3 linked regions of the Cricetulus griseus genome follow. The protein of the gene in region 2 interacts with the protein of the main gene of each other region in a pairwise test. Links are inferred from orthologs where the notes say so. Each region holds a gene or a part of one and is shown on either strand. Other genes may lie near its edges. The genes, in order: Naa10, Kifap3 and Ncf2.

Region 1 (4,373 bases), on a different chromosome or scaffold from region 2:
CTGCCTTGTGTGTTCTTTACTATAATTCCTTTCACCAGCCTCACTAGCACTTAGTAACAAACCATACTTCCTCTATCCAGCAAGATGTGCAGGACACCTCCTCTACCACACACACAGAAACCAGGTGCCTTCTCCATGTTAGCTTGTCAGTGAACAGCCACTGAGTATACAGAAGGACCCCTAGCAATGACTGAAGTTCCTCCACCCCTTTCTTAGCTCACCTTAGCTAAAAGGATGGATCACGCCACTTAAAAAATCTGGATCTGCCAGGAGGTAGTGGCACATGCCTTTAATCCCAGCACTTGGGAGGTAGGCAGATCTTTGTGAGTTCAAGGCCAGCCAGGTCTACAGAGTGAATTACAGGATAGCCAGGACAGTTACACAAAGAAACCCTGTCTCTAAAAACAAAACAACAACAACAACAAAAAATCTTGATCTACTTACTGAAAGTTGAGGGTGTTGGAATAGAGATGCAGGGCAGCCCGGTTACTGCAGGGGAATAAGGCACTACTGAGCTTCAGAAACTTGACCAGGCATGTTGGCAGGCTATATCCAGGCCCTGCCTTTCTTCCCAGTCTTCCTTTCCCACTAATGCTACTTACCATCTTCTTCTGAAGGCAGTAAACCCCAGAACCCCTATCAATGGGGTACCTCTTCCTCCCCACTCCCCAGCATTGTCCTTTCCCCAAGCTTGTCTTTCACCTCTTTCTGACATGTAGGGAGACATATTTGGCATTGAAATTCTCTATCATGGCTCGAGAGGCCTGATCCATCAGCTTCTGAGCCAGCCCAAGGCGCCGGTGGGAACGCTTCACAGCCTGAGAGAAGGATGGGTACTAGTGGGACCTTGGAGGCTACCTCCAGTCCACCTCTGCCAAACCCTCAGTAGCTCTACTCACCAGTGAGGTGATATGTCCATGGGGCACGTCATCTGGGTCCTCTTCCCTAGAGGAGAAAGCTAGAAAGGAGCCTGGTACAGGTCCAGTATGTACCGGACACCTGTACACATCAAGTGCACAGACATCGTGATGGACCCTACAGCACCCCAGATCCAGGCAGAGGAGAACTAGGAACTTCTGAATCAGAATAACCAATCATGCCCTCCTCAAAGCCCCCATGCTACACCCAGTAGATATGTGCAGTGTCAACAGAATATTAGCCTGTGATTGACAACAACAAAAGTCAGCTGCCAAGACACAAAAAGTGTAGCAGTGTATTGCTGAATGCAAAGCATTGAATGAAAGGAGGCAGCTTGAAAGAGCTATAAGTTCCTAGTTCAACTCTGCAGCCTTCTTAAAAGGTGACCAACCTTGTTGTTGGAGGTTGTGGGAAGGATGGAATACTCTAAAGGTGGATAGACACTCTTCATTTGCCCAACTCAGAGGGTGTGTGACACACAGAAGCCCAACAATGAAAACATCAATCTAAACAAAATCTGTGTTGGTTTCTCACTTCTAATAAGTGTACCATACATGGTAGTGAGAGAACAAATGTGGAGGAGGGGGTGTGTGGAAATACTCAGTACTTTCTGCTCAATCTTTCTGTCAATTTAGAAACACCCTACCAACAAGCTGTTAATTAAAAAACAATTCACAGCAAGCTGGGCATAGTTAATCCCAGCATTCAGGAGGCTCAGCATGAAGACTGATGCAAGTTTGAGCCCAATCTGGCAAAAGAGTGAGAACCCCTCTAAAACTAATCCACAGCATGTTCACCAGATGTGGATGGTGTTGGCTTCCCATTCCCTTGTCCAAAGCTTTTCCCTCAGCTCCTCAACCCCCAGTCTTAGAATTAGGCTCTTTTCTTCCTCCTTGGTGACTCACATTTTGGCCAAGACGTACCCCACAATCTTCCCATTCTCATCCTCAGCAATGTAAGAGAGCTGGTAACAGAGAGGAAAAGGATGTCAGGCAGAGCAGGCAACAGGCTAGAGCTCACTGCCAGCCTCCTGCTGTGTGTAGGATAGTGGGAAGCAGCAAAAATTGTCCAGTTGTGACAGCTGGTGGCCTGGAATGCAAGGGTCCCAGATTCCCTACTCCACAGTTGTGCCCTCTCTTGGAAAAGCACAGACACAGGTGGGAATCCCATTTCCCACCTGTGTCTAGCTTACAATCCCTTGCACTGTTTCCTTTGCCAGGCTTCCCCATCAGCCATGGCTTCGCTGTACCAAGGCACTGTATATCTCACTGCCCAGTGCTTTTGGCCCACTCAGATCCATGATTCCCTTCTGTTGTCCCTTACACCCTTACAAAACGCAAAACCTGCCCACCTGGGGCCAAGAGAGGCCATGATAGAAATAGTACTTCATCTGGTAGTTCTCGGGCAGGCAGAGGAGGTTGCAGTGCTGCATGTTCATCAGGTCCTCGGGCTGCATGACAGCGGGACACGGTTAGTCCAGGACTGCAGTGACTAAGAAGGGCCTCACGAATGCGGGGCCCCTGTTCTCTGTTAATCTCTGGGCCTCCCCTTCCCCGGGCAGGTCAGGGTTGTGACTATATGACTTTGCACAAGCCTGGTTTCCATGAGCCATGCAAAACGCGCCAACTCAAGGACCGAGCAGTACCGCCTGGAGGTCGCGAGCCCACTCGATGGAGCCCTGACATTAGGCAAACGCGGGATAGTATAATCGCGAAATGTCCAGGGCAGGTTGCAACAGCCTTAAGGTCCAGCGGCCGCAGACGTGGAGGACCACAGCACCAGGTCCCTCGTTAGCATGTGCACGCGGTCACCCGGCAAGGCGCCCATGGGTTGTGGACAGGCTAGCTCCCCATCACCTCACCCTAGCATTGCGGATATTCATCACGGCGGCGGAGCTCGCAGGTCCTCGTGGGTTATGAACGTGCACGCTCAGCGGCCACTCAGAAGAACCGCACGGACTATAGGGGCTGGGGCCAGGCTCCCAGAGGAAGGTAACGGAAGAGGCGGGCCGGCCCGCCCCACCTGCAGCGGAAGTGTGTGGTACGGGATCCGCTTCCGAACCGCACAGCCAGTGAGCGCACCGAGAGTTAATGGGAGCGGTGGATCAGTGCAAAAATGGCGCCTTCAAGGCCGTTATGAAGGCTGGGTAACGCGGGCATCGTGGGGAGTAGCTGTACCCTCCCGCCCGGCCCACAGAGGTGCGCACACAAGCAGATGGAGCAGGGTTAGATTTATTTTGAGCCTCTGTGGGTGGGGACAGTGAGCGACGACATGACGGGAGCAGGCCGGAGGCGGCAGAGCAGGGCTTCCAGAATCTACTCGCACATGGCCAGGCACTGCGGCACGTGGAAGCAGCTTGTGAGGGGAATGGATGCTGGGGTTAGGAGGTCCTAGGGAGCCAGGTGCCACAAACCTTTGCAGTCTCGTCCCGTTCCTTGCTCACCTTTAAAAGGACCTCTCTTGATGGTGAGGGTCACCTTTCCCTCTCGGTTCAGATAGCCGAACCATTCCCCGAACTCAGGATCACGAAACTAGAATAAGGAGACAATGACAGCTAGTGTCTGGCAGGACACACCAGAGTGTCACGGGCTGAGGAAGGGGCCCTCGCTGTCCCCTTTGTACTACCACCACTGGTCAGAGTTCAAATGCCATGATTTCATTACTTTTTTTTTTTTAGCTCAAGTCAGTAAAACTTTATTTTGATAGTGGTTTTCATTACTTTTAAGAGACCATGTCCTGGGAAAAGATGAAAGCTGAGGATGATAGGCAGTTGGTTTTCTCAGCTTGTAACCCAATGGGAAGATGCTGCAGGCAATGTGCTGAAACGCTGAGAGAACAGGTGCTCTATGTTTGATTGTAGTGTGTTATCTAACACTTTGAATTGAATACTTAAAAACACACGTTTACCTAATCTATATTAAAAGGCAAAAAGAACAAAGAATCCTGGATTGACTTGCCAACAAACTTTGTAACATGTCCTCTACTCCACAGGCCTTATCAAACAGAGACACGTAACTCATGCCCTTGCATGTTGTGGTTTTTATAACAGGGTGTCAGACTTTCCTCTAACCCTGTGTGATGGGGAAAGCTTTTAGTCCCAGCCCTCAGGACGTAGAGGCTGACACATTTCTGTAAGTTTCAGGACAACATCGTCTTCTGCCTATTTTCACCATGGGTTCTGAATGTATCTCTCTCACTTCTGACCCTGTCCAGTGGATCTGATGCTTCAAATAAGGGGGAACAGCAGCTGAGCTGGTTAGATAGGCTAACCCATCCCATACCTGTCTCACTGAGGCTTTTTTTTTTTTTTTAGTTCCCCCAAATGAAGCCCAGGTCCTTATCCTAGGCCCTTTCCATTTTGTTCTCACCGATAAAATAGTTAAGTAGAACCCTTTCTTAGAAGGCATTCTTAGAAGTTTACCTTCAAAATGTTCCCTTTAAATTGTGACATGTAA
Region 2 (4,071 bases):
GTGAGGACTGACAGTGAAGAAATAAACACCCACTTTTACAGTCTAATTTTAATAAGGATGCTCCAAATATCAATGGAGAGAAAGAAGATCTCTTTGACAAATGATGCTAAGATTAGATATTCTTAAGCACCATATACAATAAGTAATTCAAGTGAATAAAAATAAATATTTAAGAGCTAAAACTATAAAACATAAGGGAAAACTTCCTGGCCTTGAATTTCAAAGGTAACGGTAACTATTAATAGATTAGACTTCAACAAATTAAAATTGTTGACACTACTGACATATTCAACACAGTAAAAAGGCAACAGTAAAAAGACAAATGTTTGTAAACTGCATATTTAATAAGGCCTGGTATTAAGAGTATATTTCAGAAACAACTTTTTCCTAAAAGAGAAAGACAAATGACCAAGGAGCAGATGAAAGGAGCTCAACCTACTTAGTAATTAGGGAAATGCAAATCAAAATCAAAGTAAGACACCACTTTACACCCCCTAGAATAGCTACAGTTACAGAACACACATACAAAATAATACAAAAAGAGAAGATAACAGGCATTAGTGAAGTGTGGAAAAACTGCAATGTTCATAGAGGTACAGACACCAAGGGAAAGCTATTTGATGAGACTTCAATGAGTCCAACATAGAATTACTCCATGTTCCTGAAATCCCAAGCTTATTATATACCAAATAAAGAAGAGAAGTGTCCAAACAGAATCTTGTTATGATAGCAACTTTATTCCCAATAGGCAACAGGCAAAAACCACCTAAATATCTACCTACACTTGGGTCATGAATAATCAGATTACAATATACCCATGCAATGAAACATTATTCAGTTCCAAAAAGGAATAAAGTGTTAATGCACAGTATAAGTGGAACATAATCAAACAATGTGAAAAATCTGAACAAACATCATACTTATATCCATCAAGTCCCTGCCTTTTCCATTAGGTCTGTATACTGTATATATAATAATCATCTCTCTCATATACATGTGTGTGTGCATATACATAATCTGGAGGTAATGCAAAGTTTATTTTGTCAAAATTAGATTAAACAATGTACTTTCAACCTTTTTTCCAGATTCTGACTCTAACTGAAACATTACGGTGACTAAATCAGTTGCATTTATTGTTTTCTAAATGATGTGGTTTTAAAAGGGGGTCCACATTAGTGCAACAACCTTGAGAAAAACCACGCTTGACACAACCGTATCATAGGACAATCAGCAAATGGTACTTTCTTTAAAATAACCTCAGGTTTACAGTTGAAATTAGAAAATTTAATGGATTTGACAAAATTTTTGAGTGTGTTTATGTGTGGAGGTTTGTGGGTAAATGTGCATTGTGCATGCTGTTAGCAAAATTACGTGGGCAAAGGAGTACTGACTCACTGAGTTACGATTACATATTCCTTTCACAAATCTCTACTAAAGGTCTTTTCATTTGCCATTTTCCATGAACACATTAATTGAAAAAGACGAAGGACTATGTTCCCGTCTTTCAGAGGCACTATAGGTGATTTGTAATTGTTTGACTATGTTTAAGAGTTCACTAACACTTGTAAGATGTTTCTGTGACATCTAGAATCCCACCAAGCATGGGGAAAAATAAACTCATCAAAAGCATTTTAGGACCTAAACTAATGCCACCACCTAATAATATGCATGTTTTCTCTTTCAAAAGTATTTTCATATTCTGTCCTTATGTCTCCCAGAAAGTAACGTCTCTCATTTTCAGATGAATTATGTTTCCCCCCCCAAAAAAACTGTGCTTTTTGTAATGAATCAGCAACAAAGCTTTGACTAAAAATAAGAGATTCCAAATTAGCATTTTTTTTTAATTTGTTCACTGCTTGCTCACCCTTGGTCCATCGAGAGGTGTATTTTAACCATGGATGCCCATATCTTTGGCAGAAGTTAAGGAATCTCAACAAATTTCCATTTTTCTTTGGAGTAGCTGATATCACACATACTTAAGATAGAAAATGGTAAGCTCTTTCATGCCAAGGTCTTGCTAGTAATGCACTTTCTACATAAATTATATTGTGAAGGTGACAGTCAAATGGGTGAAATGGACCAAGGACAGCTGGCTGGACATCTCAATCCAGTCTTGCATGAAGTCTGTATTTCAAAACACGCATGATTTATGGCTCTCAAACCGAACACAAATTGGTGATGTGACAGAATTCACTTCCAAGCTCCCATGGGATTTATCTATTGAGGAAAACAGAAGAGTGGGGCAGGAGAAACAAACAAACAAACAAACAAACAAACAAACAAACCCGCAAAACCAAAAACGAAATATGGGTTTTACCTCGCCCAACCTGCCTCTCACTGCGGATACAATTAATGTAGCGAGGAAGCCATCTGATGCTGTCAGGGCCCCGCCAAACTAAGGTGGATTAAGGACCTCGCGCCCCCACAGGGCCCGTCCTTTATTCCACCCCATCACTTCCCCCCTCTTTCTTTCCTGCCCTGCATCCCAGCCCTTCTCTCCTCAGGCTTTGCCCAGTGACAGCCCCTTCGGCGGGGAAACACCTAAGGACCTGCTCAGGGCGGGGCCCGGGTGGTCACCTTTTGAGGTATCTGGCGTCCTCGCCTTGCATGGCGGCGGCGGTGGCGGCGTGGGGAGGATGGGGGTGTCTGAGAGTCTGGGCCGGCTACTTCCGGGGACCGGGACAAAGTACCCTCGCAGCCCCGGCGGTGACAGTCCCGAAGCCTGCGAGGCGGGGCGGCGGCGGCGCTGCGGTTACCACGGTGAGGCCGCCGGCTCCTCCCACAGCTCCTGGGCCCCAAAACCCTGGCGCAGCCCAGACCCGCCCAGAGCCGCCAGGGCCAGGCTCTCCGCAAGGCGCATGCGCTCACGCGGCAGCTGCAGTACGCGCAGGCTCAGTTCGAGACCCTGGCTCCTGCGACTAATCTGACGCTTTCAGGAACCGGGCGGGAAGTGTTTGGTGCTTATCTGGGAGCCTGTGGTTAAGAGTGATAGTCCTCGTCACTGCCCCCTGGAGGAGGGGAAAGGAAAAGGCATTGCAATCTGCAAAATTGGAATTTAAAGTCTTTAGTGTGAAATAAGGCGAAAGTAACCAGCTAACTTTTTTTTTTTTTTTTTTTTTTTTTGCTAACTAATGATAGACATCAAGTTAGCCTTTAACTAGCAACGTCTATGGCGGGGCTTCCGTTTTGGAACATGTGAAAGGTTCTGCATTGGTTGCACTGAGTTCTGGCTGGCAAAAATAGTCTGTATTTATGGAATGGATAGAATTAGACACAACTTTGAAAGTCACATTTTAAATCATACATGTAGAAGATAGTACCATCCATCAAAACAAGCCAACTTCTGAACTTCGAAACTGTCCGTTAATTAACCGTAACTCAAAATTCATGAGTAATTGTTTCCTCTAAGGCAGGTCATTGCTGACAACTTTCAGGGAAAAGAGCTGATTTTTGAGGGTGACAAGCCACCTGCTCTGCTTTAGAATAGCCTCCCCTTTAATCTGTCCCCTCAATTACTATCTTCTAGTCCCACATTAGCAGCCACCCCTTCTTCAAATGAGTTATATAATATTGATTGACCTGTAGTCGTGAAATGTCATGCTGGCATACACTATATGGCATGAACACTGTAGAGAGACATTAATGATTTATGGCCCCACCCATTCACACCAGCTATACTATTTCTGTTAAAGCTATAATTATTCTTTCAATATCAAGGAAGAAATTTGGAGCAAACTTTAAGTCCTTTCTGTTTATCAAGTTTCCTTATTGAAGTGTCACAAAATTCACAAGACAGTCCTGCTATTCACTTTTTCTTCTCCATTCACACTCACACTCAGTCCGTTAGTCTAAGCATTTCACCTATGGAGTCCCTCCTAACTCGACTTCCTATTTTCTGTGTTTTCTCAAATATTGACTCTTCAGTGCAAACATGTACAAATTGTCATTCACAGCATCTTTAACCGTAACAAAAGCAGGGCACAGTATTTTAAAGCAGTGGTTCTCAACCAGTGGGTGGTGACCTCTGGGACTGAATGACCCTTTCACCTTAGGGGCTGCCTAGAACCATTG
Region 3 (3,645 bases), about 10 Mb from region 2:
GGTGGACCCAAAACACAAGAGTGCTGCCAACACCAGCAATTTGTTTATGACAAAGCTGTAAGGCTGTCTTTTATGTTAAAACATGAAAGTTGACTTAATAGGAAAAAGGGTAGGGTATGGAGGCTCACATTTCTAATCCCTGCCTTTGAGAGGCAGAGGCAGGATTGCTGAAAGCTCGGGCCAGCCTGAGTTACAGAGTGATATCCCATCTCAAAAAACAAAGACAATATAGAGAGGATGAGTGATGGGGGTGGGGTGTTCTACACAACGTGTTCTGTTGACTAAGTGTTACGGGAAAGGAATTTGTGCTAATTCTGCCGGCAACCAGGGATTATAAAAGTTACAGCCACGTGGGTGGTGTGCTCAGTTCATAAGTGAAAGCTGTGCCATGTGTATACCTAGGTGTAGAAGCGTGGGGCATACAAGGGTTGGGTACCATATATGGGTTCACCCATCTCTTGGATTCTTGTGTAGTGTTTCCTGAGGACAAGGGGAACTCCTGTGTGCTTATGGAACGACTCACCTGCGGTTTCTCACCTCATCCTTTCAGGATCCCATGCAGGCCAGCACCCTGCTCTTGTCTCATAGACAGTAAGATGTGGAGTTAGAGTGAGTGCCAAGCTAAGTCTCTGGCCTCCGTTGCTTCTCCTGCAGTAAGGGGATGTGTGTGGTCCAAGCTGAATGATGGGCTGGGTCTTCTGTGTACCCTTCAGGGCTTTGGAAGGCGAGGCACATCGAGTGCTGTTTGGCTTTGTGCCTGAGACACCAGAAGAGCTACAGGTCATGCCAGGGAACATCGTTTTTGTCTTGAAGAAGGGCAGTGATAACTGGGCCACAGTCATGTTCAATGGACAGGTATTTGGAAGGTCATGGGGAGGTGCTAAGGGCATAGGGTCCCAGCAGCAAAGGGCAGAGCTCTTCCATGGGACGGTGGTATCTGCTGCATTATTTGCAGACCTGGGCCATCATCTGAGTGCTGTCCCTACGCATGGCTGTAGACTGTTCTGTGTTTTGGGTACTAATGAGTCTTTGTTTTCCTTTCTGTGTCCTGGGATGCCACACTGCAGAAGGGGCTTGTCCCTTGCAACTACCTGGAGCCAGTTGAGCTTCGGATCCATCCTCAGTCGCAGCCCCAGGTAATGTAGGCCTAGCCCCGCCCCCCCCCACCCCTCACATAGCCCTCCAGGGAGAAGAATATGTGAAAAGGGGCAGTCTTCCTGTCATGGAAGAAAGACTCAACTAGCTCTGGGCCACTTGAGCTGATATCAGATGCCTAGGCCTGACAAGAAAAGATCAGCTATGCCAAGTGGAGGCAACTGTTAGGAATCCACTGGACTCGCCCCACCCTGTGAGTCCTTCTGGTCAGGAAGACTTGGAAAGCGAAGCCTGACCATTAGAGCTAGATGTTCCCAGGCAAGTCTTTTCACCAGGGAGAGTCATCAATGTGTCTGTTACTACAATGCCATTTAAAACAAAGTAAGGGCTGGGGATGTAGTTCAGTTGGCAGAGTGCGTGCGTAGCGTGCATGAAGCCCTGGCTCAATCCCCAGCACTGAATAATTCAGGCACGATGGCATGTGCTCCTAACACTTGGAAAGAGGAGGCAGGAGGATCAGAAGCTTGTCATCCTTAGCTACATGGCCCTCTGAGGACAGCACGTGGTCTGTCTCTTTATAGTGTGTAATGAGATGCACATGTGTGGAACCCTCCCTGGTCAGTCATGAAACTGAGGCACTTCAAAGTTTCAAATGCCCTGCAGATGGGAAGTGAAATTTTCCCTTTCTCTGTACACTCTGCAGTGGGCACAGAAGCACAGCATGCCACCCCACTTTGGTGGGTTTTCAAAATGGCTGATGAGATGGCGTGAAGGGCCTTGTGGGCATTAAGATTCTTACTGCTGCCACGAATTAGCCCCCTTTCCTTAGTCATCTCTCTGTGTCATATCACCCTAACTTTTTTAGTCATTTGCATCCAGTTTCTTTCCAGGGAAGCCCTCATGCTTTTGTCTGACTGTCTCCTCTTGTCACCTCCAGGAGGACACCTCCCTGGAATCTGATATTCCACCTCCTCCTAGTACCAGTGCCCCAGCAAGATCCCAGTTGTCACCAGGTTGGTGGCCCAGGAGCAGAAGCTCTCTGGGATGCTTCATGATGAAGAGCTGCTTTCCTAGCCATCTAGGAAATTCTGGTTTCTTTACCCAGCATGCCTCTTGGCTGATGACTACATTTCCTCAGAGCCCTGTCTTGCCTGCACCATCATGCCACTGGATGGTGATGGCAATGCCCCTCCCCCACCTGCTTAGAAATGAGTGCAGATGAAGGGACAGTTAAGTGCCTGTCATGAGAGCAGTCACCAAATGACCTAAACTAGGTCCAAGAAGAAAGGCAGCAGTAACTGCATTTTCTCACCCCAGCCTTCTTCAAACCACTGAGGTGTATGTGCTCTCCAGACTATAGGGCTTGAAGAAGGGACCACTCACTGGAAGGTGTGGATGGGAGATCTTTCCAGAAGGATCTCTCTTAAGCTGGGTAGCACTGTCTTGGAAAGCAATGACTTTTTGTTACTGGTGAGTTTAAGCAGATTCTGATGGAGATGACAGAGGTCTCTTTCCATGACTACCTGATTATTGGAGCTGCTTTTATGCCCCTCCCCTGCATATTTATTTGAAAAATTGCAGACCTTCAGAAAAGTTGGAAGTAGGATACAAAAAATACTACAACACTTTTCACTTAAATACACCAGTTATGGGCCAGCAAGGTGGCTCTGTAGTTAAAGGCACTTGCTACATAAACCTGGTGATGACTGCAGTTACCAGAACCTACTTAAAGCAGGAAGTGGAGAATCAACTCCCCAAAGAAATTGTCCTCTGGCTTCTACACACGCCAGGGCACTTGCCCTCCCATCATGCACACATGCTAAAAGAAAAATTTTAAATGTAAACAACATATCAGTACCTCTTTGCCCCTGTGAGCCACTTAAATATAAGTTACAGACCTATGATACAATCTACCTGGGTATAACTCCCCTACGAACAGGCACAGCTTCTGCCTAAGGAATGCATTCTCATCTAGGACACCGCCCGCCTATTCCACGTGTAAATACTTCAGTGGCCCTGTATAGTGTTCATCAAAGCATTTTTGTTCTTACCTTCCCTATCTGGAGGTTCACAAAAGGATACAATGCTGAAGAGATTGAACTACCGGATTCCTAGACCTTTGGTTGATGTTAGCAAAATGTCCCAAGTGATTCTAATCTACTGGGAATGAATTTGTGATTAATGGTTCTTACATCTTGGGTGGTAAATAGTTCCTATTACCCACACACTGCTGAGTTAACATATTATGCATTTTAAAACCACAAACATACTCAACACTACAGGACCATGAAATGGTAAGGTTCTGCTGTTTATGTCTGGGGCTCCGGCTCATGTCACATGACCTCGCTCTGCCTTGGGGCCTACTCGTTTAACCGGCCTTTAGGCCAGTCCTCTGATAGTTAGCAATGCTTCCGAGAAGCAGAGACTGGCTTCGCTCCCATGCTTGTGGTCTCTGAGATTCTTCAGAGTGAGATTTTTAGATGTTAAAGGGTAGGACGCTGGGCATTGTGGGCGGCAGGTGCCACCATGAGTATTCATTTGTTATTTCCT

Evidence for each region.
Region 1: the proteins of Kifap3 (region 2) and Naa10 interact in binary tests that used the Homo sapiens proteins (3 or more experiments, as listed by UniProt). The two-hybrid records come from large-scale screens. The link is inferred for Cricetulus griseus from reciprocal best matches to the Homo sapiens genes KIFAP3 and NAA10.
Region 3: the proteins of Kifap3 (region 2) and Ncf2 interact in binary tests that used the Homo sapiens proteins (3 or more experiments, as listed by UniProt). The two-hybrid records come from large-scale screens. The link is inferred for Cricetulus griseus from reciprocal best matches to the Homo sapiens genes KIFAP3 and NCF2.

What each region holds. Positions count from the first base shown.
Region 1 is NC_048604.1:1,827,687-1,832,059, reverse strand, and holds the start of Naa10 (N-alpha-acetyltransferase 10), read right to left. Parts: upstream 2,801-4,373; coding exon 2,780-2,800; intron 2,369-2,779; coding exon 2,270-2,368; intron 1,883-2,269; coding exon 1,824-1,882; intron 946-1,823; coding exon 900-945; intron 819-899; coding exon 703-818; intron 490-702; coding exon 445-489; intron 1-444. UniProt on the Homo sapiens protein: Catalytic subunit of N-terminal acetyltransferase complexes which display alpha (N-terminal) acetyltransferase activity. Acetylates amino termini that are devoid of initiator methionine.
Region 2 is NC_048598.1:28,529,463-28,533,533, forward strand, and holds the start of Kifap3 (kinesin-associated protein 3), read right to left. Parts: upstream 2,834-4,071; 5' UTR 2,610-2,833; coding exon of another isoform or gene 2,578-2,609; intron 2,218-2,577; 5' UTR 1,897-2,217; coding exon 1,865-1,896; intron 1-1,864. UniProt on the Homo sapiens protein: Involved in tethering the chromosomes to the spindle pole and in chromosome movement. Binds to the tail domain of the KIF3A/KIF3B heterodimer to form a heterotrimeric KIF3 complex and may regulate the membrane binding of this complex.
Region 3 is NC_048598.1:38,810,989-38,814,633, reverse strand, and holds part of Ncf2 (neutrophil cytosol factor 2), read left to right. Parts: intron 1-713; coding exon 714-855; intron 856-1,067; coding exon 1,068-1,136; intron 1,137-2,032; coding exon 2,033-2,108; intron 2,109-3,645. UniProt on the Homo sapiens protein: Subunit of the phagocyte NADPH oxidase complex that mediates the transfer of electrons from cytosolic NADPH to O2 to produce the superoxide anion (O2(-)).